Linked DNA regions of Macaca mulatta. The protein of the gene in region 1 purifies or fractionates together with the protein of each later gene. This does not show direct contact. Links are inferred from orthologs where the notes say so. Each region holds a gene or a part of one and is shown in the gene's direction. Other genes may lie near its edges. The genes, in order: EEF1A1, GAPDH, EEF2, RBX1, SNW1, TUBB and EEF1B2.

Region 1 (4,021 bases):
AAAATGCAGTTACAATCTATAGGATGACAGAAAAAGAAAGCACTTATTTAAATATAATAGGCACTTATTTAAATAGGAGAAGCTGTGACTTCATAGCAAGTGTTGGGGTTAGGAAACTGGGTGGATAAACTTGCTGATGCTGTAGATCTTAGTCTCTACATGAGATCACGTGGAAAATCTGAATTTGAAAGCTTTTTAGCTTCCTTATGTTTGCAATCAAATGACTGTACACCTTTTAATTTAAAAAGTACCATGAGGCACACACACACTCGCAGGAACTTTTTGGCGTAACAAAACTAGAATTAGATCTAAAGCTAACTGTAGGACTGAGTCTATTCTAAACTGAAAGCCTGGACATCTGGAGTACCAGGGGGAGATGACGTGTTACGGGCTTTGATAAAAGCAGCTGGCTTTGAATGGAAGGAGCCAAGAGGCCAGCACAGGAGCGGATTCGTCGAGCTCACGGCCATCGAGCCGAACCTCTCGCAGGTCCGTGAGCCGTTAAGGAGTCCTCCAGTCCAGACCCTTCGCCCCAAGCCCCTCGGGGTCCCCGGGCCTGGTACTCCTTGCCACGCGGGAGGGGCGCGGAAGCCGGGGCGGAGGAGGAGCCAACCCGGGGCTGGGCTGAGACCGGCAGAAGACGACGCTCTAGGGATTTGTCACGGACTAGCGAGATAGCAAGGCTGAGGACAGGAGGCTGATTGGGGGGCGAAGGTACACCCTAATCTCAACACAACCTTTGGGGCTAAGCTAGCAATGGTAGAGGAAAGATTCTGGACGTCCCTTCCAGGCCGCCACCTCGTCGCCTCCCCCTCCCCCTCCTCTTCCCCCCCCGCCCCGGCCGGAGCTGAGAGTAATTCATACAAAAGGACTCGCCCCTGCCTTGGGGAATCCCAGGGACCGTCGTTAAACTCCCACTAACCTAGAACCCAGAGATCGCTGCGTTCCCGCCCCCTCACACGCCCGCTCTCGTCATCACCAAGGTGGAGAAGAGCATGCGTGAGGCTCCGGTGCCCGTCAGTGGGCAGAGCGCACATCGCCCACAGTCCCCGAGAAGTTGGGGGGAGGGGTCGGCAATTGAACCGGTGCCTAGAGAAGGTGGCGCGGGGTAAACTGGGAAAGTGATGTCGTGTACTGGCTCCGCCCTTTTCCCGAGGGTGGGGGAGAACCGTATATAAGTGCAGTAGTCGCTGTGAACGTTCTTTTTCGCAACGGGTTTGCCGCCAGAACACAGGTAAGTACTGTGTGTGGCTCCTGCGGGCCTGGCCTCTTTACGGGCTATGGCCCTCGCGTGCCTTTTATTACTTACACGCCCCTGGCCGCTGTACGTGATTCTTGATCCCGAGCTTCGGGTTGGAAGTGGGTGGGAGAGGTCGAGGCCTTGCACTTAAGGAGTCCCTTCGCCTCGTGCTTGAGTCGAGGCCTGGCTTGGGCTCTGGGGCTGCCGCGTGCGAATCTGGTAGCACCTTCGCGCCTGCCCCGCTGCTTTCACTAAGTTTCTAGCCATTTAAAATTTTTGATGACCAGCTGCAACGCCTTTTTCCTGGCGAGATAATCTTATAAATGCGGACCAGGATCTGCACACTGATATTGGGGTTTTGGGGGCCGCGGGCTGCGACGGGGCTCGTGCGTCCCAGCGCACATGTTCGGCGAGGCGGGGCCTGCGAGCGCGGCCACCGAGAGTCGGACGGGGGGAGTCTCAAGCTGGCCGTCCTGCTCTGGTGCCGGGCCTCGCGCGGCGGTGTGTCGCCCCGCCCTGGTCGGCAAGCCTGGCCCGGTCGGCACCAGTTGCGTGAGCGGAAAGATGGCCGCTTCCCGGCCCTGCCGCAGGGAGCTCAAAATGGAGGACGCGGCGCCCGGGAGAGCGGGCGGGTGAGTCACCCACACAAAGGAAAAGGGCCTTTCCCTCCTCGGTCGCCGCTTCATGTGACCCCACGGAGTACCGGGCGCCGTCCAGGCACCTCGATTAGTTCTCCGAGCTTTTGGAGTACGTCTTCCTTAGGTTTGGGGGAGGGGTTTTGTGCGGTGGAGTTTCCCCACACTTGGTGGGTGGAGACTGAAGAGTTAGGCCAGCTTGGCGCTCGATGTAATTCTCCTTGGAATTTGCCCTTTTCGAATTTGGATCTTGGCTTATTCTCAAGCTTCAGACAGTGGTTCAAAGTTTTTTTCTCCCATTTCAGGTGTCGTGAAAACTACCCCTAAAAGCCAAAATGGGAAAGGAAAAGACTCATATCAACATTGTCGTCATTGGACACGTAGATTCGGGCAAGTCCACCACTACTGGCCATCTGATCTACAAATGCGGTGGCATCGACAAAAGAACCATTGAAAAATTTGAGAAGGAGGCTGCTGAGGTATGGGAAAGATGAACTAAAATGAGTTTTACCAGCAGAATCATTAAGTGGTAGTGATTTCCCCAGAACTAGTGAGTGGTTTAGATCTGACCCTACTTATTAAAATAGTTTGCTTTTGGTTACTTCTGTAACCGTATTGCTAGTGAGTAGTTTCGATTTGGATATTAATAGTCAAGATCCTACTTTAAAAAGTTTGCTTTTTGGTTGCTTCTGTAACCCTATCTAAGTGACTAAAATTGCTTAGGACTTGCAGTTGTAAAGTGGAAACTATGTGCCAATTAAGGGCTGGGGGCAAAGAAATTGAAGCTGGAGTTTGTGTGTTAGTAACCAAGTAACAACTCTTAATCCTTACAGATGGGAAAGGGCTCCTTCAAGTATGCCTGGGTCTTGGATAAACTGAAAGCTGAGCGGGAACGTGGTATCACCATTGATATCTCCTTGTGGAAATTTGAGACCAGCAAGTATTATGTGACTATCATTGATGCCCCAGGACACAGAGACTTCATCAAAAACATGATTACAGGGACATCTCAGGTTGGTGGGATTAATAATTCTAGGTTGTTTTTTTTTTTTTTTTTCCCTGAAATGCCTGTCTTGTGCATTGGTTTTGTCCTTTGGAGAGTTGACAGGGATATGTCTTTGCTTTCTTTAAAGGCTGACTGTGCTGTCCTGATTGTTGCTGCTGGTGTTGGTGAATTTGAAGCTGGTATCTCCAAGAATGGGCAGACCCGAGAGCATGCTCTTCTGGCTTACACACTGGGTGTGAAACAACTAATTGTTGGTGTTAACAAAATGGATTCCACTGAGCCACCCTACAGCCAGAAGAGATACGAGGAAATTGTTAAGGAAGTCAGCACTTACATTAAGAAAATTGGCTACAACCCCGACACAGTAGCATTTGTGCCAATTTCTGGTTGGAATGGTGACAACATGCTGGAGCCAAGTGCTAACGTAAGTGGCTTTCAAGACCGTTGTTAAAAAGCTCTGGGAATGGCGATTTCATGCTTACACAAATTGGCATGGTTGTGTTTCAGATGCCTTGGTTCAAGGGATGGAAGGTCACCCGTAAGGATGGCAATGCCAGTGGAACCACGCTGCTTGAGGCTCTGGACTGCATCCTACCACCAACTCGTCCAACTGACAAGCCCTTGCGCCTGCCTCTCCAGGATGTCTACAAAATTGGTGGTAAGTTGGGTGTCAACAAAGTTGAATTTGAGTTGGTAGAGTACTATCTTCCTTCATAGGTATTTAGTATGCTGTAAATATTTTTAGGTATTGGTACTGTTCCTGTTGGCCGAGTGGAGACTGGTGTTCTCAAACCCGGTATGGTGGTCACCTTTGCTCCAGTCAACGTTACAACTGAAGTAAAATCTGTCGAAATGCACCATGAAGCTTTGAGTGAAGCTCTTCCTGGGGACAATGTGGGCTTCAATGTCAAGAATGTGTCTGTCAAGGATGTTCGTCGTGGCAACGTTGCTGGTGACAGCAAAAACGACCCACCAATGGAAGCAGCTGGCTTCACTGCTCAGGTAACAATTTTTAAAGTAACATGTTCCTACCTTATTGCAGAGGCTAAAGTCATTTGAGACTTTGGATTTACACTGAACGCAAATCTTTTTTTCCAAGGTGATTATCCTGAACCATCCAGGCCAAATAAGTGCTGGCTA
Region 2 (4,030 bases), on another chromosome or scaffold:
CCCATGCACCTGCTGATGGGCCAAGGCCACCCCACCCCACCCCCTTCCTTACAAGTGTTCAGCACGCTCCCATCCCACACTCACAAACCTGGCCCTCTGCCCTCCTACCAGAGAAATGGATACCCTGTGGGAAGGGGCAGGGGGCCTGTTCCCACCATGTGCCCAAGACCTCTTTTCCCACTTTTTCCCTCTTCTTGACTCACCCTGCCCTCAATATCCCCCAGCGAAGCCAGTGAAGGGGAGTCCCTGGCTCCTGGCTCGCCTGCACGTCCCAGGGCGGGGAGGCACTTCCGCCCTCACGTCCCGCTCTTCGCCCCGGGCTGGATGGAGTGAAAAGCACACTGTCTCTCACCCTAGGCAGCACAGCCCACGGGGCTCCAGGAGTGACTTTGTGGGAGGCCTCTGGGCCCCCACCAGCCATCCTGTCCTCCGCCTGGGGCCCCAGCCCGGGGAGAGCCGCTGGTGCACACAGGGCCTGGATTGTCTGCCCTAATCATCAGGTCCAAGCTACAGGGCTGCAGGACATCGTGACCTTCCGTGTAGAAACCTCCCCCTCAAGCCGCCTCCCGAGCCTCCTTCCTCTCCAGGCCCCCACTGCCCAGTGCCCAGGCCAGGCCTCGGTCCCAGAGAGGCCAGGAGCCAGGAGATGGGGAGGGGGAAGTGGGGGCTGGGAAGGGCCCACGGGCCCCTCCTAGCCCTTTGCTTCAGCTATTCCGGTGTCACTACCGCAGAGCCTCGAGGAGAAGTTCCCCAACTTTCCCGCCTCTCAGCCTTTGAAAGAAAGGGGAGGGGGCAGGCCGCGTGCAGCCGCGAGCCGTGCAGGGCTCGGGCTCCAATTCCCCATCTCAGTCGCTCCCAAAGTCCTGTTTCATCCGTGCGTGTAAGGGCCCCCGTCCTTGACTCCCTAGTCTCCTGCTGCCCACACTCCAGTCCTGGGAAGCAGCACCGATCACCTCCCATCGGGCCAGTCTCAGTCCCTTCCCCCCTCCGTCGGGGCCCACACGCTTGATGCGTGCCCAGTTGAACTAGGCGGCTGCGGAAAAAAAAAAAGAGCAGGGAGAAAGCAGGGCCCCGCTACTCGCGGTTTTACGGGCGCACGTAGCTCAGGCCTCAAGTCCTTGGACTGGGACTGGCTGAGCCCGGCGGGAGGCGGGGTCAGAGTCACCGCCTGCCGCCGCGCCCCCGGGTTTCTATAAATTGAGCCCGCAGCCTCCCCCTGCGCTCTCTGCTCCTCCTGTTCGAGAGTCAGCCGCATTTTCTCTTGCATCGCCAGGTGAAGACGGGCGGAGAGGAGCCCGGAGGCTAGGGACGGGCCTGAAGGCGGCAGGAGCGGGCGTGGGCCGGACGTGTTCGCGCCGCTGCGGGGTGGGCGCGGGCCAGGGTCCGGGTCCGGGCCCGGGCTGCCTCCGCATTGCAGGGGCGGGCGGAGGACGTGATGCGGCGCGGGCTGGGCATGGAGGCTGGTGGGGGGAGGGGAGGGGAGGGGAGGCGTGGGTGTCGACCGGGACCACTAGGCGCTCACTGTTCTCTCTCTCCGCGCAGCGCATCCCTGAGACACCATGGGGAAGGTGAAGGTCGGAGTCAACGGGTGAGTTCGTGGGTGGCTGGGGGGCCCTGGGCCGCCCGCAAACTGCGTCTACGAGCCTTGCGGGCTCCGGGTCTTTGCTGTCGTATGGGGTAGGGTAGCTGCGTCCGGCAAGGAGAGCTCAAGGTCAGCGCTCGGACCTGGCGGAGCCCCGCACCCAGGCTGTGGCGCCCTGTGCAGCTCCGCCCTTGCGGCGCCATCTGCCCGGGGCCTGCCTTCCCTAGTCCCCAGGAACAGGAGGTCCCTACTCCCGCCCGAGATTCCATCCGACCCGGACCCCTAGCTGGGGACGCTTTCTTTCCTTTCGCGCTCTGCGAGGTCACGTGTCGCAGAGGAGCCCCTCCCCCATGGCCTCCGGCACCGCAGGCCCCGGGATGCTAGTGCGCAGCGGGTGCATCCCAGTCCGGAGGCTGCGCCTGCGGTAGAGCGGCCGCCATGTTGCAACCGGGAAGGAAATGAATGGGCCGCCGTTAGGAAACCCTGCCGGTGACTAACCCTGCGCTCCTGCCTCGGTGGGTGGAGTCGCGTGTGGCGGGGAAGTCAGGTGGAGCGAGGCTTCCCGGCCCCTGCTCTCAAGTCGGCCCCTGAGCTGCAAGCCCTATTTCCCCTCCGGGTGATGCTTTTTCTAGATAATTCTCTGGTAAATCAAAGAAGTGGGTTTATGGAGGTCCTCCTGTGTCCCCTCCCTCCAGAGGTGTGGTGGCTGTGGCTTGGTGCCAAGCCGGGGGGAGCTGAGTCATCGGTAGTTGGAAAAGGACATTTCCACCGCAAAATGGCCCCTCTGGCGGTGGCCCCTTTCTGCAGCGGCGGCTCACCTTATGGCCCCCCTCTTCCCCTGCCAGCCTAGCGTTGACCCCACCCCAAAGGCCAGGCTGTAAATGTCACCCGGAGGATTGGGTGTCTGGGAGCCTCGGGAAACCTGCCCTTCTCCCCATTCCGTCTTCCAGAAACCAGATCTCCCACCGCACCCTGGTCTGAGGATAAATATAGCTGCTGACCTTTCTGTAACTGGGGGCCTGGGCTTGGGCCGTCTCCCATCCCTTCTCCCACACACATGCACACACCTGTGCTCCCACTCCTGAATTCTGGAAAAGAGCTAGGAAAGGACTAGAAGCTTGCAAATTAAAGCCCTGGGACTAGGGGGTTAAAAAACAACTTCCCCTCTTCCCCCGGCCCAATCTCTGTCCCTTTTGTAGGCGGGTCTTAGAGAAGGGGTGGGCTTGCCCTGTCCAATTAATTTCTGACCTTTATTCCTGCCCTTTGAGTTTGGTGATGCTGAGTGTACAAATCTTTTCTCCTTAAACGGTGCAGTTTGAGGCTGAGCTAGGCAGCAGCAAGCATTCCTGGGGTGGCATAGTGAGGTGCTGAATGCCACGTGCAAAGCTTGTGCCCAGACTGTGGGTGGCAGTGCCCCACATGGCCGCTTCTCCTGGAAGGGCTTCCTATGACGGGGGGTGTTAGGCAGCAGTGGAGCCTTCAGTTGCAGCCATGCCGTAAAGCCAGGCCAGCCTGGCAGGGGAGCTCAAGGGAGATACAATTCACCTCTTAATGGAGGTAAGGAGATGTTGGGGGTAAGGAGATGCTGCATTCGCCCTCTTAATGGAGAGGTGTCCTAGGGCAGCTCACATACTGTGGAGAAGCCTCCCCTCCTCATGCCTTCTTGCCTCTTGTCTCTTAGATTTGGTCGTATTGGGCGCCTGGTCACCAGGGCTGCTTTTAACTCTGGTAAAGTGGATATTGTTGCCATCAATGACCCCTTCATTGACCTCAACTACATGGTGAGTGCTGCCCCAAAGCTGATGTGGGAGGAGCCACCTGGCTGCCAGGCAGCCCCTTCACACCCTTGCGTATTCCCCCAGGTTTACATGTTCCAGTATGATTCCACCCATGGCAAGTTCCATGGCACCGTGAAGGCTGAGAACGGGAAGCTCGTCATCAATGGAAGCCCCATCACCATCTTCCAGGAGTGAGTGGAAGGCAGTGGGAGAAATGTGCTGTGGGGGGCAGCTAGGGTGGTGCGGCTCCCTTGGGTACATGGTAACCTCGTGTCCCTCAATATGTCCTATCCCTGTCTCCCCCACCCCATAGGCGAGATCCCTCCAAAATCAAGTGGGGCGATGCTGGCGCTGAGTACGTCGTGGAGTCCACTGGCGTCTTCACCACCACGGAGAAGGCTGGGGTGAGTGCAGGAGGGCCCGCGGTAGGGGAAGCTGGCTCAGCCCTGCAGAGGCAGAACCCGGGTTTATAACTGTCTACTTCTCTGCTGTAGGCTCATTTGCAGGGGGGAGCCAAAAGGGTCATCATCTCTGCCCCCTCTGCTGACGCCCCCATGTTCGTCATGGGTGTGAACCATGAGAAGTATGACAACAGCCTCAAGATCGTCAGGTGAGGAAGGCAGGGCCAGTGGAGAAGCGGCCAGCCTGGCACCCTGTGGACACGCTCCCC
Region 3 (4,115 bases), on another chromosome or scaffold:
AGCAATCATCCATTAAATGAAAACCAAGGTTGAGACAGCGCTTTGTAAAGCAAAGTGCCCGAAGCATTTGTGAGGGGGAGGAGTGTACAGGTTTATTTTAGAGTCCAGGCTGGAATTTGCATTGCTTTTTGTGGATCCACACCTCCCCCTCTCTCAGCCCAGGAAAAGCACTGCAGTGGCTCTTCTGTTTCACAAAGTGAGTTTAGGGAAAGACGTGCCGCAGGGGGTTCATTTGCACTGCGAGAACATCATTCATGCAAGAAATACTGAGTACCTACTATGTGCTAAACAGCGGGCTGGGCTTTTCATAAGGAATAGAGATACTCAATTGAATGCCAATTCATGAGCTATGAAACACATTCAACTGTTTCTTAGGGTCAGATTAGGACACAAATGCTAAACAGTCTTCCTGCGCCTCCCCCTGGAGAGGAAATGAACTAGAAAATGAAATTGTGCCAGTAAAGCGCTTAGCCGGGTGCCTGGGACATGGCAAACCAGTCCTGAAATAAATGTTTTATTAATAGCAATCTTAGCTAATTAAAATACATAGCGTTTATTGAGCGTTGGGTATCAGGCACGGTGCTAATTCTTTTAGATGTCTTTAGTTCGTTTTAGCCCACCTCAAACAAGAGTGGTATTGATCACCTCCGATTTACAGACGAGGAAACTGAGGCAAAGAGAAATCTTAGTAGTTAGTAGAAGTGCACGCAGTGTGGTCAAGCTAGCAAGGTGTTTTGTCCACTGCTGTATCTACAAAACCTCTAACAATGCCTGGTGCATAGATGCTCAGTATGCATTTGTGGGATCAGTGATTCCGATGCCTGCTTCTTATAAATCTTTTTATTTTGAAATAATTGCAGGTAAGGAGTTGAAAAACAGTATAGTGGTCGCGAGTGTCCTTTTTCCTTCTGCTTCTCCCAGGGATATCGGCTTACATAACAACGCCCAAACCGGGAAATTGACTTGGGTAAAATCCACAGACTCTATTCACCTTGCAATGTGGCTTTAATAGAAGTGCTGGACATTTTGTAAGCTGATATCGTTGCTATGGTTCTTATTCTCAGCTAAAACGGCGCTCTTTGCTTTGTGCACCTGAACACTGCATACCGAGGGCGACCACCATCCCCGAGACGCCCAGACTGTATCCTAAAGCAGCCTCGCCAGCGCCGAATGGGTTAACGGGGGAGGTGTGCGGGAACGCCTCCGTGCGCTTGCGCGGCGTCGCTTCGCCCCGCCTCCGCAGCGCAGTCACATGACCCGCCCAACCGGCGTCCGCCTATAAAGTGCTGAGTGTTGACGTCAGCGTTCTCTTCCGCCGTCGTCGTCGCCATCCTCGGCGCGGCTCGCTTCATTCGGTTCTACCTGGGAGAATCCACCGCCATCCGCCACCATGGTGAGTAACCCTGCCTCGCTGGTGTCCCGGAACGGCGGCGGGACCTCCGCGGGGCCGACGCTGCCTAGACGCTGGGGCCGCCCGTGCCGGGAGGAGACGTAGCGGCGGCAGAGCCGGAGGAGCCGGGGCTGGGGCAGCGGTCGCCGCCATGTCTGTGCGCCGCACTGTTCACGGAGCCCCTTCTCCGCTTCCGGGGGCGCCGTAACCTTGCCCAGACCTGGCTGGAGCTGGGGTGTTAGGGAGGATGGGGGTGGGGTATGATGATGTGGCAGGCGTTGTAATGGCGGGCACCGCGGTGGAAGCGGGGAGACGGGGAGGCGCCTTATGTAACTCGCGGGCCGCGAGTTTGAGATCGATTTTCTGCCGGGGGACTAGGGGCGGCAGGGAAATGGCAGAACCAGCAAAGCGACACCTGAAAGGTTCCCCTTTTCCTCCCAAATATCTTCTCCTGATGCTGTTAACTGTCGGCCCTAGGCGCTTGTCCTTGTGACTCCGAAATGTGCAAAGACTCGTTTTGAGACACGAGGTGTAGGCTTGTGGCTGTTAGGGCCGTTCCGGCTCCCCGTTATCTCCTGGGGTGGGTGGCCTTGTGTGATCCCTCTTGCCGAGGGGTGACCTTGCATTTTATTATGACAGTTTTTGGTCGGGGAAGCCTGGGTGGCCCAATGACAACGTGGAGGGGGCTTTGGGAGAAGGTTCACCCCTTACGTGTTTGGCCTCTAATAACTCTTTAGTGTTTATATTCGGTATCAAGGAAATCTGTTGCCACTGAGTTTTATTTCTGAGCGCTTTTATTTCTGGGTTGTCCGTTCTGGATGACATCTGTTGACAGTGGATCCTTGGAGATTGTGGGGTAGTTCTCAAGGCGTGTTAGGCTGGCAGGATTGGGTGGGCTTCGGGTACCCCAACACCAGTCCCCTCCTGGCCTTGGGCATGCTGGTTCGTTTGGACCGAACGCTCCATGCCAAGCCGTGTTCCTGGAAATCTCGAGCTGGTCTGAGCCTCCCCTTCTTGCCCAGGTGAACTTCACGGTAGACCAGATCCGCGCCATCATGGACAAGAAGGCCAACATCCGAAACATGTCTGTCATCGCCCACGTGGACCACGGCAAGTCCACGCTGACAGACTCCCTGGTGTGCAAGGCGGGCATCATCGCCTCGGCCCGGGCCGGGGAGACACGCTTCACTGACACCCGGAAGGATGAGCAGGAGCGTTGCATCACCATCAAGTCAACGTGAGCTCCCTGTGCCCTCTGTACCCAGGCAGGGAGGTGCTGGCCTGGCAGCTGGAGGCCACTGGGCCAGGGTGGGCGGGGAGAGACTAGGCAACGTCTCTTTCTCCTGGTTTCTTAATTCATGGGAGAATGAGTGAGGTTCAGTCCAGCGAGACGGGGATTAAGAGTCACAGGGATTGGGGGTACTGCGAGCCGGAAGATTTTCTTGAGGAGGGGCTTCACTCAGTGGTTCTCCTTCCCTGGGGGACTTGCCGCCACTCCTACAATATCTGGAGGGGTTTTGCTGTCACACCTGGAAGGGGGGGTGTTTCTGGCACTCAGGATGCGGAAAGCTCTTGTGTTGCACTGGATGGCGTTCATTCCGTGACAGTTTCTGGCCCCTGACGTGAGTGGGGTGAGAGTCTAAAACGTGAGCGCAGAGCACAGTGATCCCAAATGCCTTTTGTCCTGGGTTGGCACCATAGTGAGGGTCTCTGGCTAAAGCTCTTCATTTTCACTGGAGCAGGGGCAGAAGTGAGGAGGGAAGGGTCAGAGTCTCTGAAGGCTTTTGCTGTCCTGCGGGGTCTTTTCATTGCTACTTTGAGTCAGGTGTGATGAGTCTTGGGGGGACCAAGTCGGTGGGGCAGAGTGTCTGGTCAGGAGGGCTCTGAGTCGCTGGCTGTGGGGCTGGTACCAGGAGTTCCCTGTGGGGGGGGCGGGGGGCCTGTCTTGGACAGAGTATTGTGGAGGCAAAGGACAAGGGTGGGTTGGGTCTTGTGGGTGGGTTGGGTCTTGTGGGAGCCTCTCAAGGGATGAGTCATGGAGGGAGGAGCAGCCTGGCTTCTGACAGGATCCCAGCCTCCCTGGGCCAGGTGTGTGCATCCTGTCCCCCTGATGGATCCCTCCCTCCATCAGTGCCATCTCCCTCTTCTACGAGCTCTCGGAGAATGACTTGAACTTCATCAAGCAGAGCAAGGACGGCGCCGGCTTCCTCATTAACCTCATCGACTCCCCCGGGCACGTCGACTTCTCCTCGGAGGTGACCGCTGCCCTCCGAGTCACTGATGGTGCATTGGTTGTGGTGGACTGCGTGTCAGGTAAGCAGCGGGTCCCCCTGAGGCAGGGCCTAGAACCCGGGGCCTTCCCTGTTTGAGGATGACAGCGCCGCCCCGTGCCCTGCATCCCTAGGCGTGTGTGTGCAGACGGAGACAGTGCTGCGGCAGGCCATTGCGGAGCGCATCAAGCCTGTGCTGATGATGAACAAGATGGACCGTGCCCTGCTGGAGCTGCAGCTGGAGCCCGAGGAGCTCTACCAGACCTTCCAGCGCATTGTGGAGAACGTGAACGTCATCATCTCCACCTATGGCGAGGGCGAGAGCGGCCCCATGGGCAACATCATGGTACGGCCCTCCCTGGCTGGGTGGTGTGCCCGCCGCAGTGGGCACCGCAGGAGCTGGCGGGGAGCGGAGTTGAGCTGAGGGGACTGGAAGTGTGTTTTTGCCAGGAATG
Region 4 (4,135 bases), on another chromosome or scaffold:
GAGAGTGACACAAAGTACAGGTGCTTGGGTCGGGCGCGGTGGCGCACTCCTGTGATCCTAGCACTTTGGGAGGTCGAAGTGGGAGGATCGCTTGAGCCGAGGAGTTCGAGACCAGCCTGGGAAACAGAGTGAGACCTTGTCTCTATTTAAAACAAAAAAAAATCGGCTCTAGCCTGTAATTCCAGCACTTTGGGAGGCCGAGGCAGGCGGATCACCTGAGGTCAGGAGTTCGAGACCGGCCTGGCCAACATGGTAAAAACCCGTTTCTACTAAAAATACAAAAGAGCCGGGCGTGGTGGCGGACACCTGTAATCCCAGCTACTAGGGAGGCTGAGGCAGGAGAATCGCTTGGACCCGGGAGGTGGAGGTTGCAGTGAGCCGAAATCGCGCCAGTGCACTCCAGCCTGGGCAACAAGAGCGAAACTCCGTCTCAAAAAAACACCCCAAAAAGAATGCTTCACAAAAATTAAAGAAATACAGCGACTGCAGATGGGTCGGTTTCACTATAGCACAAGTAGCGGAAAGAGGACACAGACTGGGGAGAAATCACCCTACACAAGATGACAACTGAGGAATGAGAAGTGGGGACTGACACACGCCACGGTGAAACCGCGCACCACGACCAAAGGCGGTCCTAGGACTGCGACTAAGCGGGCGCAGAGGCCACCCTCCAGGCTTGGCGGGGGGATGAGGGCAGCACTGGGGGCCTGCTCAGTCTGGCCTTAGGGAGGACCTTCGGGGCTCTCCTCTCTCCCCATCGATCCCTGAGCAGTTCCCGAACAGAAATCGGAGACCAGACGGTGCCTGGGCCCCAGCCCTCCCACGCGGACTGCGCCTTGGGCCTGGCTCGGAGGTGGGTCAGAGTCTGCGAAAGACCAGCGAGGGCTCTCAGGTTTCGGGGCAGGCGGCGGGCGCCCACCCCGGCTAGCAATGGGAGTCGCGCGGCGACCGGGCGAGCCCGGTAGGCAGGACAGGACTGCGGCGCAGGTCCGACTCAGGCGGAGGAAGCAGCCGCCGCCCCAGCTGATGGAGTGCGGCCGGGGGCTTCCCAGAGGAGGCGGCGACCTCGAGCCCTTTCGAACGTTTCTACCAGGCTAGCTCACGTAGCCTCGGCCCCGCCCGGCCCCGCCCCGCCCCACCCACTCCGGCCACCGCCCCCTCCCCGGCCGACACTTCGCGGGTGGGGCGACTTGCGATAGCCCCTTTAAGAGGCGTGGTCACGTGCTCCGCCCCCACCTCCCCCACGCGCGCCAGTAAGGGGTGGGGTGCGGGAGGAGGTGCCGGGGAGGCTGGGGGAACGAGGTGTGCGCTGCTGCGCAGGCGCGGTGGTCGGACGACAGACCGTGTGTTTCCAAAATGGCGGCAGCGATGGATGTGGATACCCCGAGCGGCACCAACAGCGGCGCGGGCAAGAAGCGCTTTGAAGTGAAAAAGGTTGGGTCTCGCCAGCGCCTTCCTCAGGGAAGCTAGAGAGGCGCGGATCTGGCTGGCAGGCCCGAGGATGGTCGAGGCGCGGAGTAAAGGGTTTCATTTTAGGGCGTTCCTGGGACCGGGTACCACGAAAGGAAGTCGGGGGGCGGGCCTTAGAGTTGATCGGCGTGACGGCGGCCCACTGTCAGGGGAAGTGTTGGTTTCGATGTGAGGCTGAGGGGCCAATCACAGAGCTGCTTGTTGAGATACGCGGGGTTGCGACTTGGCGGCGGGAGCCAAGCGCCTGAGCTGTCACTGGAGTGGTTGAGAGGTGGGGGAAGGTAGGGTGGGGTGAGGTAGGGTGGGGTGGGGTGGGGTGGGGTGGGTGGAATGGGGAGTCAGAGCGACTGCGGCGGTGGAGGATGGGGCAGTGCGGCGAAAGCCTGGAACCTGAGGTCCTACCGCATTGGAGGCCTCTGAGGAGCCCCGCTAGTGATCTTGCTCCGCCCCTTTTTGAAGCTTGCTTGGGGTCCTCTCACTTGAAGGGATCAGACTTGTTCCTCGCTGAACCGAGGCCTCCATTAACCCCATCTCTGGGCCTCACACCGCCGAGTTAGAGTCTGGAGTGTAATGCTTGGGTGTTCTGAGACGTCTGTTGGCTTTTCCCACAACCACCCCACTCTTGGATTCTCTGTCACGTTCAGAATCTCCCCCTTCCGAAATAATAATAAAAAGCACGGTGGAACTTGTTAAGAAAATCCGAGCCCAAATCCTGTGGCATTTCGGAAGGGTTGAGTACTAGTTGCGAATGACTTGGTAAGAGGGGAAAGCAAAAATGGAACGTGTCTTTTGCATGAAATGCATTTTAGTGGTTTGCCACAGTTTGGGAGAAAAGTGTCGATTCCCACCTAACATGAAAACTATTCGAAATGGAGATTCTGAAATAGGGAAGATATTCCTGGAACATCTGGCTAAACACTGACAATATCCCCCCCCTCCTAGTGCTTTTTGGTGTCTCATTGTGGCCACTGCTGCTCAGTTACAGCCAGCCATATTGAAGAATAATAGAAGTAGGGGCTTTTCCTCCAAGTTGAAGCTGTGATGTGAAAAGTGGTGAAGAAGTTACTAGGCACTGAGACTGGGGTTTGAAAGCGATGAAGGTTTGGGAGTACTTGTAATTGAGGAAACCAGAGTTGAATGAATGAAATGCCACTTTTAATTAAACTCTTACTGGAATTATTATCTTTTTTTTTTTTTTTTTTTTTTTTTTGAGACGGAGTCTAGCTCTGTTTCCCAGGCTGGAGTGCAGTGGCCGGATCTCAGCTCACTGCAAGCCCCACCTCCCGGGTTCACGCCATTCTCCTGCCTCAGCCTCCCGAGTAGCTGGGAGTACAGGCGCCCGCCACCTCGCCCGGCTAATTTTTTTTGTATTTTAGTAGAGACGGGGTTTCACCGTGTTAGCCAGGATGGTCTCGATCTCCTGAACTCGTGATCCGCCCGTCTCGGCCTCCCAAAGTGCTGGGATTACAGGCTTGAGCCACCGCGCCCGGCCTGGAATTATTATCTTAATAGAAGAGTCTAAACATATAAAAGTTCAGAACATCAGTTTATTTTATGGTAAGAATCGAACAAAATTCTAGTGAATTGTAGAATTTGTTATGAAGTAATCTAAGATTTAAGTGATGACCTTGTTCTGTGTACTGACATGGGCAGTTAATTATCCAGCTTATCCCACGATTACCTGTTTTATGATCCAGTCATCATCTTAGTTCATTCTGTTCCCTAGCTTTCACTTCATTGCTCATGCTTCCAAAGCTGCCTGGAAGAGCAGATACTTATTCAGATTTTGAGCGCTTCTGCAACTGCCACCAAAACCTGCACAGAAATTCAAGTTTGTGCTTTTTTTTTTTTTTTTTTTTTTAGATGGAGTCTCACTCCATCGCCCAGGCTGGAGTGCAGTGGCACGATCTCGGCTCACTGCAACCTCTGTCCCCCAGATTCAAGCGATTCTCCTGCCTTAGCTTCCCAAATAGCTGGCATTATAGACACCCGCCACCAAGCCTGGCTAATTTTTGTATTTTTAGTAAAGACGGGGTTTCGCCATATTGGCCAGGCTGGTCTCGAACTCCTGACTTCAGGTGATCCACCCGCCTCAGCCTTCCAAAATGCTAGGATTATGGGCGTGAGCCACTGCGTCCGGCCAGACTAAATTGTTTTAAACTACAGGAAACAAAAGATGACATTCATTTATGTCTTCATATACTCAGTCTTTTGGAGAATAGGAGAACGTATGTGTTGTCTACTGTTGTCTTTGGTATAATAAGATTAACATAATATCCAAAACCTTTTGTTTGGTGGTTCCTTGTGGCCAGAGATCATAACTACAACTGCAGCCTGAAGTCCTAAAAACTGTGTGTGTGTTATAAGGAGAATGCATTGTTCCCTCTTTTTGTCTTTGCAGTGGAATGCAGTAGCCCTCTGGGCCTGGGATATTGTGGTTGATAACTGTGCCATCTGCAGGAACCACATTATGGATCTTTGTAAGTAATTGGAGGAGGATGGGAGGAAGTTGAGAAGGTTGCAGAGCTTGTGGCTATCTTGATGTGACCGATTTTCTTCTTCACAAGCAGATATCAAGCCTACTCTGAGCACTCGGTCTTCTGTATCTAGTCTTTTGGTGTGTTTGAAATAGAGTAGTTTTTTTATGATGTCCTGGAGGCATACC
Region 5 (3,116 bases), on another chromosome or scaffold:
ACTGTACTCTAGCCTGGGTGACTGAGACTCTATCTCAAAAAAATAAAATAGAGCCAGTGTCCTACAAAAGTTCCTCTTGGGTTTTTTGTTGTTCATTTTTGGGTTTTTTTTTTTTTTTTAATGCTATAGAAATATGTCAATTTGGGAATCTTTTAAAAATGAAGCTGTAAAACTGGATTAAAGTACTAGGCTGGCTGTCAGGAAATCTGATTTCTAGTACCAATTGCCATTAGCTAACTAGGACACTTTAAGCCTGGGAAAACACAAGGCGGGTGCGTGCACACACACACACACACACACACACACACACGGTAAGAATACAAAGGTGTAAGTTCTACTGGAAAGTGGAGTGGGAAACTTTATGACTTGGAGGTTTTAAGTAAGCTCTTCTAAGTGATAATTTATTAGGTGCATTTTATATTCTTGGCATTGTTCTAAATCTTGTTATTATCTCAATTCTTACAAAAATCCTTTGAAATAATACTATTCTCTCATGTTATAGATGAGGAAATTGAAACACAGGTTTACCTTGTGACTGATGGAATTAAGATTCAAGTCTTGATCTCAAAGCTTTATTATTACTATTTTTTTTTGAGATGGAGTCTCACTGTCACCCAGGCTGGAGTACTGTGGCGCCATCTTGGTTCACTGCAACCTCCACCTCCCAGGTTCAAGGGATTCTCCTGCCTCAGCCTCCTGAGTTGCTGGGATTATCACAGGCACATGCCACCACGCCCGGCTATCTTTAGTAGAGACAGGGTTTCATCATGTTGGGTCAGGCTGGTCTCAAACTCCTGATCTTGTGATCCTCCCGCCTTGGCCTCCCGACGTGCTGGGATTACAGGCGTGGGCCACTGCGCCCAGCGCATTTCAAAGCTTTCTTAACCACTATACAAAGGCAGCTTACCAGCTGAGCAAAGGGATCTAGGGGTGAAATTTCACGTAAGTAAAATATTTTCAAGATAATCACCTGTTAGAAGCTTAAGCTTAAAACATTTAAAAATTGTGATGAAAATATTTCTGGCTGGGCACTGTGGCTCACACCTGTAATCCTAGCACTTTGTGAGACCTAGGCAGGCAGATTGCTTGAACCCAGTTTAAGACCAGCCTGGGCAATATGGCAAAACCCTGTGTACAAAAAATTAGCTGGACATGTTGGCACACACCTGTACTCCTAGCTACTTGGGAGGCTGAGGTGGGAGGAACACTTGAGCACAGGGAGGTTGCAGCTGCAGTGAGCTTATATAGCGTTTTGTGAGACCAAGGCAGGCAACCACCTGAGGTCAGGAGTTCAGGACCATCCTGGCCAACATGGTAAAACCCTGTCTCTACTAAAAATACAAAAATTAGCCGGGTGTGGTGGCACGTGCCTGGAATCCCAGCCACCTGGGAGGCTGAGGCAGGAGAATCGTTGGAACTGGGAGGCAGTGGCTGCAGTGAGCCAAGATCACGCTACCGCAGTCCAACCTGGGTGACAAAGCAAGACTCCGTCTGAAGAAAAAAAAAAAAAGAATCCAAAGTTATGAAGTTTATGTGCTAGCAGTTTTTTAATGAAGACCTTTAATTTGCAGTTCAGATTGTTGAAAATGTGAGCTACAAATTAGCAAGGGTTTACTGTAAACATGTTATGATTCAGCTTTTGATAAAGTGTTTACACTTTTATTTAATGTCATCCATTTTTCCACAGGGTATGGACAGTGGATTTGCAGGTGGAGAAGATGAAATTTATAATGTTTATGATCAAGCCTGGAGAGGTGGTAAAGATATGGCCCAGAGTATTTATAGGCCCAGTAAAAATCTGGACAAGGACATGTATGGTGATGATCTAGAAGCCAGAATAAAAACCAACAGGTACCAATCCATACAACTCAATTTCAGTGTTTACACTGGTGAAAGCAAAGTAGTTCATAGTCTTTTCTCTTTTTCCCTAGATTTGTTCCCGACAAGGAGTTTTCTGGTTCAGACCGTAGACAGAGAGGCCGAGAAGGACCAGTTCAGTTTGAGGAAGATCCTTTTGGTTTGGACAAGTTTTTGGAAGAAGCCAAACAGCATGGTGGCTCTAAAAGACCCTCAGATAGCAGCCGCCCCAAGGAACATGAGCATGAAGGCAAGAAGAGGAGGAAGGAGTAGACACAGGTCTCTTCATAGTGAATGAACTATTACCCATTACCCTAATGATGCAAGTCATACGGGGGAACACTTTGTAAATGGTCAGGATAAAAAACAAATCTGGGTGTCGGATCCCAGCACTACTTTTTATTACTGGAGAATGGGGGGGAGATAGAAAATTCTACTTTGAATTACTTAGTTTTTTTAAAGAGTGGGTTGTGTTTGTGCTTTTCCCACCTTTCAGCATTTATAGAACATGCTGCCCCACATACAAAGTCAAGACCACTTCCTTTTGTGTGACACTAGTAGTTTGGGGTTAATATTTTGTGTAAGAACAGCTGCATATGAGTAAAGTTACCCCAACCACAGTGAGGAGGATGTTCACATACTGGAACTATCCTGCCAAATAAATTTTGCCCCTGTTGTGCTCTGTTTTAATTTGGAGTGGGCAAAGTAACCTCTTGCTTGGTGCAACTATTTGTTTCAAATAAAAACATTTAGACAAAATTCTCAGTTATGTTAACTTTATTAATAGGCTGCGGTCTCAAAAATCTTTCTCTTCATCATCAGATGTCGGCAGAACTTTTGGCTTTTGAGCTTGAACCTGGACCTGAAAAAAATAAGCACTGTAAGGAAGGAAAGGCAATGTTTGCAAAAACATTCAAACTGAAAATCGCTTTTTTATTAGGGAATCAGTATGAATAACTCAGGCAGTTTTTATTTGTACCTTGTTCTTTTGTTTTCTCCTCAAATTCCTTTTACCATCTTTCTTGATATTATGACTCCCTAACCCTCAATTAAAAATTGTAAATCAGGCCAGGAGCAGTGGCTCAGGCCTGTAATCCCAGCATTTTGGCAGGCTGAGGCAAGAGGATTGCTTGAGGCCAGGAGTTCAAGACCACCCTGCAACATAGCAAGGGCCTGTCTCATTAAAAATAAATTTAAAAATAAAATAGTAGATCAATTTGGCCCAAGATCACATGGTGGGAAAGCCAAGATTTCAGCCC
Region 6 (4,270 bases), about 40 Mb from region 1:
AATACATTGATCTGCCCGCCGCGGTGGCTCACGCCTGTAATTCCAGCTCTTTGGGAGGCTAAGACGGGCGAATCACGAGGTCAGGGGATTGAGGCCATCCTGGCTAACATGGCGAAACCCTGTCTGTACCAAAAATACAATATATATATATATATAGATAGATATAGATATATATATATAGATATATAGATCTGTGTGTAATCGAATGTGAATGAACAATGATGTTGACTTGATACTACATTTCTGAGTGGCCAGACTGCAACATCCTGGAGGACAGGGAACTAATTATTAATCATTTTGTAACCATAGTTCCTAATTTGGTGGATACATAGTAACTATCAAATAAGTGAATAAATCTCTGGGAAGAAGCTGGTGGACTCTGTCTTGAGCCCATCCAATTTTCCCCCATCAATTTCCCCTCTCTCCTTTTTCAATACTGGGTATCTTGCAGAGTTGCAATGGCGGCCACCTGGTCAGTGAAATAAGCGAATTGAAAAACCACTGACTTCATTAACATGTCTAAAAAGGTAGGCTGAAAAAACTGAAAATCTATCAGGCATCTCATTCCATAGTTCCCTGTTTGACAAGAAGATCAAGGTGTCTTCAAAGTCTGCCCTAAGGCCCAGATCTCCTACGTGGATGGAGACTTCTAGTTTCACAAATCCCCGATGTCGGTTTCTCTAAACTATTTTATTCTTTGAACATACTCTCCAGACAACATCTCTATCCTGAAAAGCCCTTGCTGCAATTTTGTTTCTCTTTCAAAACAATGACTCGAAAATTTCCAAGGAAATAGCAAGAGGGCGATTCCCTTCTTGAAGTATTTGAGAGAGCAGAAGCTTACTTAAGTTCATGACTTGGGTCACCAAAGGCCAGAGGTAGCAGAGCACGGTGCCACACTCCTCCCCATTTTTCGCTGAGCTAAGCAATTCTGTCTTCCCTAGAGGTACTGCAGCTGGGAGCTTTTAGGGCGTACCTCACCACCCAACTTCTGGAACCCCAGACTTCTCAATCCCTGCATCCCCGAGAACTGCTCACTTTTTGTACAAAAACCTCAGGCACAGAGGAAAGGAATCTTGCGCAAGGTCGTTTTTCATTTACAAAACAAAAACCCAACAAAAACCAAACCGGTACCCACCCATTCGTCACTTCATTTTGCACCGTGAACAACAATAGGGGACTACAACTCCCAAAGAGGACTGCGCTCGTCCACTGGCTCAGAGGCCAATGGACGCCTGGTACATGACCGGCATCGACTAATCAGGGCCAGGCTCGATGAGGCTTTGTCTCCCGACCGCGCGCGGGGCCGATTCTCCCGCCTCCCAGCCCCGGCGCACGCGCGCCCCGCCCAGCCTGCCTTCCCTCCGCGCCCTCCCCTCTCCTTTCTCCCTCTCAGAACCTTCCTGCCGCCGCGTTCGCACCTCGCTGCTCCAGCGTCTGGGGCGCGTTCCAACCTTCCAGCCTGCGACCTGCAGAGAAAAAAAATTACTTATTTTCTTGCCCCATACATACCTTGAGGCGAGCAAAAAAAATTAATTTTAACCATGAGGGAAATCGTGCACATCCAGGCCGGTCAGTGTGGCAACCAGATCGGTGCCAAGGTAAGAATTTTACACCTCTTTTATTTCTTTTTAGAAGGAAAAATCCAGGTAAGTTATGAAAAAATGGTTGTGGGGCATTTGCACTCTCCATTCTTAATCAAGCTTTGCCCCTCCCAAGTTTGTTACATTTATATATATAATAACTAGCATTTGCTTTTGGAAAACTGGGAATCATTTTTCTTGGCAGGCACATTTTGGAGAAACTAGTAAAAGGGCTCTTCGGGTTTCGGGGGCGGGAAGACCAAGGACATATGTTACTTAAAAGGGCTTCTAACGGTCCAAGAACCGGGCAGGGAGAGAGATGCGGAAACAGTCGGAGACAAAGCGGGGCGAGGTTTTGCCCATGTGCATCCCGCCCAGCCCCCCCTGCGGGGTTCTTAGGGCCAAACGGGAGCGGGAAGGGGTGAGGCTGTCGGGCGGCTGCAGAGAGCTCCAGTGCAAAGGTCGGGGGGCGATGCGCCAGGGTGGGCTGCGCTGGGCGCTACCATTCACAAAAGATCAGGGACCCCAGCGCGCCCGCGACCCCGGAGGGCCGGTCCTGTAGTTGTTCCGGGGTGGAAGGAGAATAAGAACGGGATTAATTTTTCTTGCTTTCATGGCACCTAAGCGAGACCTCTTTAGGGCGTGAACTGATATGTCGAGAAAATGGGGGTGTGTGGTTTTCTTTAACGAGTCCTTCAGGACTTAATGGGAGAGAAAGAATGCTTTAAATCAAGGGGGAGAAATCTAGCAAAGGAATAAAATTCCGAGGCCAAGGGTTTTTTTTTTTTTTTTTTTTGCGCGCGGTTACAGTGTAGCGGGGGAGGGGCGGGAGGAAGTGCGGGTGCTACGTTGTAGCAGAAGGGCGGGGCCCTGCGGGGCGGGGCCAGGGCGCCGCTGGCGCGCGGGGACAATGCGGCGTTGCCCGCCGGGAGGGGCGCGCTACCCTGGGCCCCGCCCCTCGCGCGGAATTCTTGCCCCTGGCCCCGCCCACGTGCGAAGTCCTTTGTCGGCGGCTCGACCTGCGCGTGCGCCGCAGTCACGTGGAGGGTGGGGGGTGGTCGACTGCGGCAGCAGCTCTTCTAGTGCCCCGAGCCTTTTGTGCGCCGCGCGGTGGGGCGGTGCCCAGCTCGGGGGAAGAACAGCGGCGCTTATCCAAGTATGGTCGACCTCCATCCGCCCACCGAGCACTTGGGACCCGCTGCACATAATCCCGAGCCGGGAAAGCTGTGGCTTTCCCGGGGGAGCGAGTGTCTAGGGGAAGGGTGTGGCAGGCACACGGGATGCCAGGCCCTAGAACAACGGCCTGAGCGCGTGTGGGATTAAAATGGGAGATGTGGGGCTGAGGCGGGCTAATTGGGATCGCTCCCGCTCAGGGGTTTGAGACCATCCTGGGCAACAAAGCGAGACCCCTCCCCCCGGCCACATCTCTTCAAAAAAAAAAAAAAAAAAATTAACTGGGTGTGGTGGCGCGCGTCTGTGGTCCCAGCTATTCGAGAGGCTGAGATGGGAGGATCGGTTGAGCCTGGGAGTTTCAGGCTGTAGTGATCCGTGATTGCACCACTGCACTGCAGGCTGGGCAACAGAGGAAGACCCTGTCTTAAAAATTAAAAGAAGCTGGGCGCGGTGGCTCACGCCTGTAATCCCAGCACTTTAGGAGGCCGAGGTGGGCGGATCAAGAGATCTAGACCATCCTGGTCAACATGGTGAAACCCGTCTCTACTAAAAATACAAAAAATTAGCTGGGCGTGGTGGCGCGCGCCTGTAGTCCCAGCTACTCCGGAGGCTGAGGCAGGAGAATCGCTTGAACCCGGGAAGCAGAGGTTGCAGTGAGCCGAGATAGCGCCATTGCACTCCAGCCTGGCGACAGAGCGAGACTCCGTCTCAAAAAAAAAAAAGAAAAAAGTTAAGAAAAAGATGAAATAAAATGGTAGTTGGGGACGTAGTTGACTGGGACTTGACTTGTGGTCTCGTTGCTCCTGCCCGGCAGTTCTGGGAGGTGATCAGTGATGAACATGGCATCGACCCCACCGGCACCTACCACGGGGACAGCGACCTGCAGCTGGACCGCATCTCCGTGTACTACAATGAAGCCACAGGTAAGGGCAAGAGCCCGGGCAGCTCAGGTTCCCCTTCCCTGTCTCCCACTTCTCTGGGGTCTCTTTCCATTCCTGGCACGCCTTATCCCCTTTCGGTGAATCTATCATTTTCTCCCTTTTGTGAACCACCGTCGGGGCCAAAGACGTCTGCTGCCACCTGGTGGCAGGACCTGGAACAAGTCTTGGGTCCCTGCTGTCTTCCATTCCCAGTGTATCTATAAACCTTTCCCTCTGCCAGATCTCACAGCTCTTAACTTTATTCTTTGTAGGTGGCAAATATGTTCCTCGTGCCATCCTGGTGGATCTAGAACCTGGGACCATGGACTCTGTTCGCTCAGGTCCTTTTGGCCAGATCTTTAGACCAGACAACTTTGTATTTGGTAAGTTATACAGATGATATTAGCAGATGATATACTATCGTGTTCAACTTATTTGGGTGCAAGGACACAGCAAAAGTTAGGAGATGATTGTTGTACTGGAGTGCTAAGAACTGTATTCTGAAATCTAATGGAGGGTAGAGGTAGGGTAGAGGTAGTGCCTGCTGTTGCTGGTACATTATGGGGCAGTGGGGGGAGAATACATCACAGTGAA
Region 7 (4,115 bases), on another chromosome or scaffold:
GCAGTGACCTCGGACTGAAATGTTCTTCCCTGGCCCCTCCTTATCCTTCAAATCTTGGCTTCGAAGCCTTTTCTCAGTTTCATTGACCAGCCTATCTAACATTTCCTGACGATTCCCCAGAATATCACCCATTTTATTCTTCTTTACGGACTCATTTCTGGCTCGTAGTAAACGTTCAGTAACTGTTAAGTGAACTGAATCTCTAATTTCTGGTCGTTAATTTGTAGGGACCACTTTCCCGGATTTAAAAAGTGCAGGTGCTCTGGCAGCGTTAAGTCGGTGAAAACAAGACTATTCCGCAAAACAAAAATAACCTGTTTATTCATCAAAAAGTTATTGTTACACTTCTATACTGTCAATTCGTGTGTGAAGTTGTGTCTGATCCAAGACCTCACAGTACAAGCATAGATCCCAATAACTTGTAAACAATATTTTGTTATTCGCAATGCAACCCTGAGCTAACTTTTCAAAAAGTCATTTTTCTCAATTTCCCGTTAGTGAAAGGAATTTAAAAATTCTGTCCAACGTGGTCAATGGACAAAACAAATAAGGACAACAGAAGCGTGAGCCACTGCTAACACAACAGCGACCAAACAATCATGTACTGTACCAGGCGTGTAAAAATCTGGGGGAAAAGGCTCAGTCTTAAGGCTTAAGTCATCGGACACTGGTCCTCTACCGGGGAATAAAACGGCCTCCTCTGAGAGGGGAATGTCCTGAATTTTCCCTGCAGAGGGAAGGTCACCTACAAGCCCGCATTCGGGCCAGCGCTCCCGAGGGCCCCCTAATCCTCATCTTCCTTTCTGCTCCATCAGACCAGAGACCGTGGCTAAAAGCCCCACTTGCCGGCTCTCAGAGGCTTCCGAGGCGGCGGGGCGGGAGGCGGCTCCCAGTCAAGGACAAGAGAAGACTAAGTCGCGTGGGCCAAAGGAAACAGTCCCGTCAATAAATAAGCCTCTGACCCATGCACCTCACCCTTCCCATCCATACAAGACCTCACCTTCTCCCCGGAGCCGCGGAGGCTGTTCTGCTAAACTGTCTGGACCACAACTACCCCCTTGGAGGCCGGGTCGCTTACTCAATATGGCGGCCTCAGCTAACTCTGTCAGCCGGGCCTGGAGAACGGAAAGCCCGGAGGGACTAGAATCCTTGCATTCGATAAGTTTGTCGGCAATTTCCGTCAGCCGACCAGAGGGCGGAGCTGAGGTCGGCCCAGCCCGGAGGCGGGAAGGACAACTTGGACCCGCAGTTCCGCCGGAAGTGGCCGGCAGCCTCGAGGCCGAGCGTCTTCGGTCATCTCCGGCGCTTCTAGGGGCGGTTCCCGTCATCTTCGGGAGCCGTGGAGGTATGAACTTAAGACATGCCCATTTTATTAATTTATTTCCAAACGCAACGAAAGATCCAGGGACAATTTGTGAGCCGTTTAATTCAGGGCCCCCAATTCGTACGTGGAGAAGTGGGAATGCTAACGTACTTTGACCTTTAACCTTCGGTCCGGCGTGGTGGAGGGAAACGCCTCCGTCTCTATATAAGGAATTTTCCGGCTTCTCCGGGCCCTTTTTCCTCTCTTAAGCGCGGGGAGCCCACAACTTGTGCGCTCTCTTTCTGCTGTTTCCCAGCTCTCGGATACAGCCGACACCATGGGTTTCGGAGACCTGAAAAGCCCCGCCGGCCTCCAGGTGCTCAACGATTACCTGGCGGACAAGAGCTACATCGAGGGGTGAGCGGACCGGCTGAGTCGGGGTGGTGGAGGGGTTTCTGGGACCGGGGCCGGGGCCACGTGGCGCAGCGTGTCGGCTGCCGCTGGAGGGAGGGAGACGGGGCCCCAGGGCCCTTTCGAGGATGACGGGAAAGCGCCCCGTGGCCATCTCCCAAGGCCCTCGTGTGGTGCGAGCCCGGCCTCCGGGGAGCGGCTCACGAGCAAAGGAAGGTTAAAATGTGCTTTATTTACACTTAATTCAGCCAGGTGTTTCCACATCGCTGCCCAGTTAATACATGTTAGGTTGTAGATAGAGCAACGTTAGAGATTGCAGTATTTGAGGTCTGCAGACATTTCTCAGGATAGCGCGGTGACCCAAACATATGGTTTGATTTTAAGGAGATAATAAGAAAAGAAAAGCATTAAAGCAACCCTACTGGAGTTAGTGCCCACTAATTAATGTGATGCATAGGCACTGATTATTTATTCGCTGGCGTTTGTTTTTCAAAGGTGTGTGTGAATGTCTCTGTGTCATTGGCAGGTATGTGCCATCACAAGCAGATGTGGCAGTATTTGAAGCCGTGTCCGGGCCACCGCCTGCTGACTTGTGTCATGCCCTACGTTGGTATAATCACATCAAGTCCTACGAAAAGGAAAAGGCCAGGTAAAATCATCTTTGTATCTAGCTGAAGAATAAGACTACTCTCGAAGCTTTATCAGGATGTTCACATGACAAAACTAGACCCAGGCTACTTTAGTTTTGTTGGGGTATTGTAAGCTAAATTTTTCTGTAACCTGAGAAGGCCAAGAGACTGAAGCCCTCCATTTTTTCACAGAACAGGTAGAACATGGACAGCAGCAATTCAACTTTTCCCCACACTGCCCTGCCAATGTGCCTCGACCTTGACCTGGGGGGCCCACCTCTGGGGTGAGAGGGTGGCTCATTCATTCAGTCCTTGGCCATTCTTCTGAAACTGCCAACAAGGGTGGAAGTTTGGGGAAGTGGACTCCAGTTCACTAAGAATGGAACTGAGCATACTTAATGAAATCTCAAACAGAAATGTTCATACTGAAAGAGTAAATCATAGTGAGTATTGAAAATAATGTCTCACATGGTACTAATGCTTGTCGGGTGAGGAGTTGAACATATGATAGTGTTTACCTGGGAGCATGTGAAAGGGTAAATTATTATTGCAAAAGGGATCTAGTGATAAGTAGTGATTAAAACAAGTTATTTTGTATTGTCTGGAAAAGTATGTTATACTAGCTCAATAGTGGTTGAATTTAAATGTTTTTCAAGCCTGCCAGGAGTGAAGAAAGCTTTGGGCAAGTATGGTCCTGCTGATGTGGAAGACACTACAGGAAGTGGAGCTACAGATAGTAAAGATGATGATGATATTGATCTCTTTGGATCTGATGATGAGGAGGTATGGCATCTTCTATAAAGAATATATCGGCCAGACACGGTGGCTCACGCCTGTAATCCCAGCATGTTGGGAGGCTGAGGCGGGTGAATCACGAGGTCAGGAGTTCAAGACCAGCCTGACCAAGATGGTGAAACCCTGTCTGTTCTAAAAATTTAAAAAAATGTGGCGGGTGTCTGTAATCCCAGCTACTCAGGAGGCTAAGGCAGAGAATTGCTTGAACCTGGGAGGCGGAGATTGCAGTAAGCCGAGATCATGCCACTGCACTCCAGCCTGGGCGACAGAGCAAGACTCCGTCTCAAAAAAAAAAAAGAATACATCGATCAGCAATTTTATCAATGTGGTTAAGCCAAATTGCCTGGATTTGAATCCTGGCTTTAACTTATATGCCTTTTTCAAATTCTGACTGGTTGCATGATGAATAAAATCAAATCACCATCTTTCGGCTGAGTTCGTGATGGATTTGCTTTTTTCTGATTAAGCCAGTCTTTTTTGTGATGACCCCACTAGCTTTAAGCAGATGACAACCGACTTTCTGAAGTGGATTAATTTTTTTTCTTTACAGGAAAGTGAAGAGGCTAAGAGGCTAAGAGAAGAACGTCTTGCACAATATGAATCAAAGAAAGCCAAAAGTAGGTCATTTGTTTTTAACTTCATTTCATGATAATGTAAGTAATCTTTTTCAAAGCTTGACCTTTAAGTAATTTCCTCCACATTCCTTGAACAGGTCAATATTTTAAAACCTCCTGTAGAAGTTCTTCCACAGCTACTGGTCTGCAGCTGTTCTTATGGTAGCAGTTGTGGCATTCCTCTGTGGGAAAGAAACTGTTAACACAAACACCTCTTTCTTAGCAAAACAGAAAGTGGGCATATGTGTGACAGACACAAGATGTATCTGTAGTTTTGTTTGGCTAAGGAGATAGTCAATCTCAAAACAAATTGAGGTGATTTGTTTGTGTCTTGGAGTAAGGTAAAAAAATACAGTTCATTAT

Evidence for each region.
Region 2: the proteins of EEF1A1 (region 1) and GAPDH fractionate together in Homo sapiens (co-fractionation; 3 studies listed by BioGRID). This does not show direct contact. The link is inferred for Macaca mulatta from reciprocal best matches to the Homo sapiens genes EEF1A1 and GAPDH.
Region 3: the proteins of EEF1A1 (region 1) and EEF2 fractionate together in Homo sapiens (co-fractionation; 3 studies listed by BioGRID). This does not show direct contact. The link is inferred for Macaca mulatta from reciprocal best matches to the Homo sapiens genes EEF1A1 and EEF2.
Region 4: the proteins of EEF1A1 (region 1) and RBX1 purify together in Homo sapiens (affinity purification with western blotting; 3 studies listed by BioGRID, with this or other methods). This does not show direct contact. The link is inferred for Macaca mulatta from reciprocal best matches to the Homo sapiens genes EEF1A1 and RBX1.
Region 5: the proteins of EEF1A1 (region 1) and SNW1 purify together in Homo sapiens (affinity purification with mass spectrometry; 3 studies listed by BioGRID and IntAct, with this or other methods). This does not show direct contact. The link is inferred for Macaca mulatta from reciprocal best matches to the Homo sapiens genes EEF1A1 and SNW1.
Region 6: the proteins of EEF1A1 (region 1) and TUBB fractionate together in Homo sapiens (co-fractionation; 3 studies listed by BioGRID). This does not show direct contact. The link is inferred for Macaca mulatta from reciprocal best matches to the Homo sapiens genes EEF1A1 and TUBB.
Region 7: the proteins of EEF1A1 (region 1) and EEF1B2 purify together in Homo sapiens (affinity purification with mass spectrometry; 3 studies listed by BioGRID and IntAct, counting the BioPlex papers as one, with this or other methods). This does not show direct contact. The link is inferred for Macaca mulatta from reciprocal best matches to the Homo sapiens genes EEF1A1 and EEF1B2.

What each region holds. Positions count from the first base shown.
Region 1 is NC_133409.1:112,151,338-112,155,358, forward strand, and holds the start of EEF1A1 (elongation factor 1-alpha 1), read left to right. Parts: upstream 1-1,221; 5' UTR 1,222-1,234; exon of another isoform or gene 1,235-1,872; intron 1,873-2,180; 5' UTR 2,181-2,210; coding exon 2,211-2,354; intron 2,355-2,708; coding exon 2,709-2,888; intron 2,889-3,008; coding exon 3,009-3,305; intron 3,306-3,388; coding exon 3,389-3,539; intron 3,540-3,626; coding exon 3,627-3,883; intron 3,884-3,980; coding exon 3,981-4,021. UniProt on the Homo sapiens protein: Translation elongation factor that catalyzes the GTP-dependent binding of aminoacyl-tRNA (aa-tRNA) to the A-site of ribosomes during the elongation phase of protein synthesis.
Region 2 is NC_133416.1:7,484,571-7,488,600, forward strand, and holds the start of GAPDH (glyceraldehyde-3-phosphate dehydrogenase), read left to right. Parts: upstream 1-1,230; 5' UTR 1,231-1,273; exon of another isoform or gene 1,274-1,365; intron 1,366-1,542; 5' UTR 1,543-1,559; coding exon 1,560-1,588; intron 1,589-3,263; coding exon 3,264-3,363; exon of another isoform or gene 3,364-3,386; intron 3,387-3,444; coding exon 3,445-3,551; intron 3,552-3,673; coding exon 3,674-3,764; intron 3,765-3,854; coding exon 3,855-3,970; intron 3,971-4,030. UniProt on the Homo sapiens protein: Has both glyceraldehyde-3-phosphate dehydrogenase and nitrosylase activities, thereby playing a role in glycolysis and nuclear functions, respectively.
Region 3 is NC_133424.1:4,793,804-4,797,918, reverse strand, and holds the start of EEF2 (elongation factor 2), read left to right. Parts: upstream 1-1,315; 5' UTR 1,316-1,390; coding exon 1,391-1,393; intron 1,394-2,412; coding exon 2,413-2,627; exon of another isoform or gene 2,628-2,647; intron 2,648-3,441; exon of another isoform or gene 3,442-3,521; coding exon 3,522-3,703; intron 3,704-3,794; coding exon 3,795-4,006; coding exon of another isoform or gene 4,007-4,074; intron 4,075-4,115. UniProt on the Homo sapiens protein: Catalyzes the GTP-dependent ribosomal translocation step during translation elongation.
Region 4 is NC_133415.1:10,578,625-10,582,759, reverse strand, and holds the start of RBX1 (E3 ubiquitin-protein ligase RBX1), read left to right. Parts: upstream 1-1,335; 5' UTR 1,336-1,356; coding exon 1,357-1,434; intron 1,435-3,871; coding exon 3,872-3,950; intron 3,951-4,135. UniProt on the Homo sapiens protein: E3 ubiquitin ligase component of multiple cullin-RING-based E3 ubiquitin-protein ligase (CRLs) complexes which mediate the ubiquitination and subsequent proteasomal degradation of target proteins, including proteins involved in cell cycle progression, signal transduction, transcription and transcription-coupled nucleotide excision repair.
Region 5 is NC_133412.1:150,938,364-150,941,479, reverse strand, and holds the end of SNW1 (SNW domain-containing protein 1), read left to right. Parts: intron 1-1,687; coding exon 1,688-2,155; 3' UTR 2,156-2,616; downstream 2,617-3,116. Other genes in the region: SLIRP (SRA stem-loop-interacting RNA-binding protein, mitochondrial), read right to left, coding at 2,654-2,719. UniProt on the Homo sapiens protein: Involved in pre-mRNA splicing as component of the spliceosome. As a component of the minor spliceosome, involved in the splicing of U12-type introns in pre-mRNAs.
Region 6 is NC_133409.1:152,322,544-152,326,813, reverse strand, and holds the start of TUBB (tubulin beta chain), read left to right. Parts: upstream 1-1,470; 5' UTR 1,471-1,544; coding exon 1,545-1,601; intron 1,602-2,643; exon of another isoform or gene 2,644-2,927; intron 2,928-3,570; coding exon 3,571-3,679; intron 3,680-3,948; coding exon 3,949-4,059; intron 4,060-4,270. UniProt on the Homo sapiens protein: Tubulin is the major constituent of microtubules, a cylinder consisting of laterally associated linear protofilaments composed of alpha- and beta-tubulin heterodimers.
Region 7 is NC_133417.1:111,412,107-111,416,221, forward strand, and holds the start of EEF1B2 (elongation factor 1-beta), read left to right. Parts: upstream 1-1,315; 5' UTR 1,316-1,640; coding exon 1,641-1,720; intron 1,721-2,240; coding exon 2,241-2,363; intron 2,364-2,999; coding exon 3,000-3,126; intron 3,127-3,529; exon of another isoform or gene 3,530-3,608; intron 3,609-3,688; coding exon 3,689-3,755; intron 3,756-3,881; exon of another isoform or gene 3,882-4,011; intron 4,012-4,115. UniProt on the Homo sapiens protein: Catalytic subunit of the guanine nucleotide exchange factor (GEF) (eEF1B subcomplex) of the eukaryotic elongation factor 1 complex (eEF1).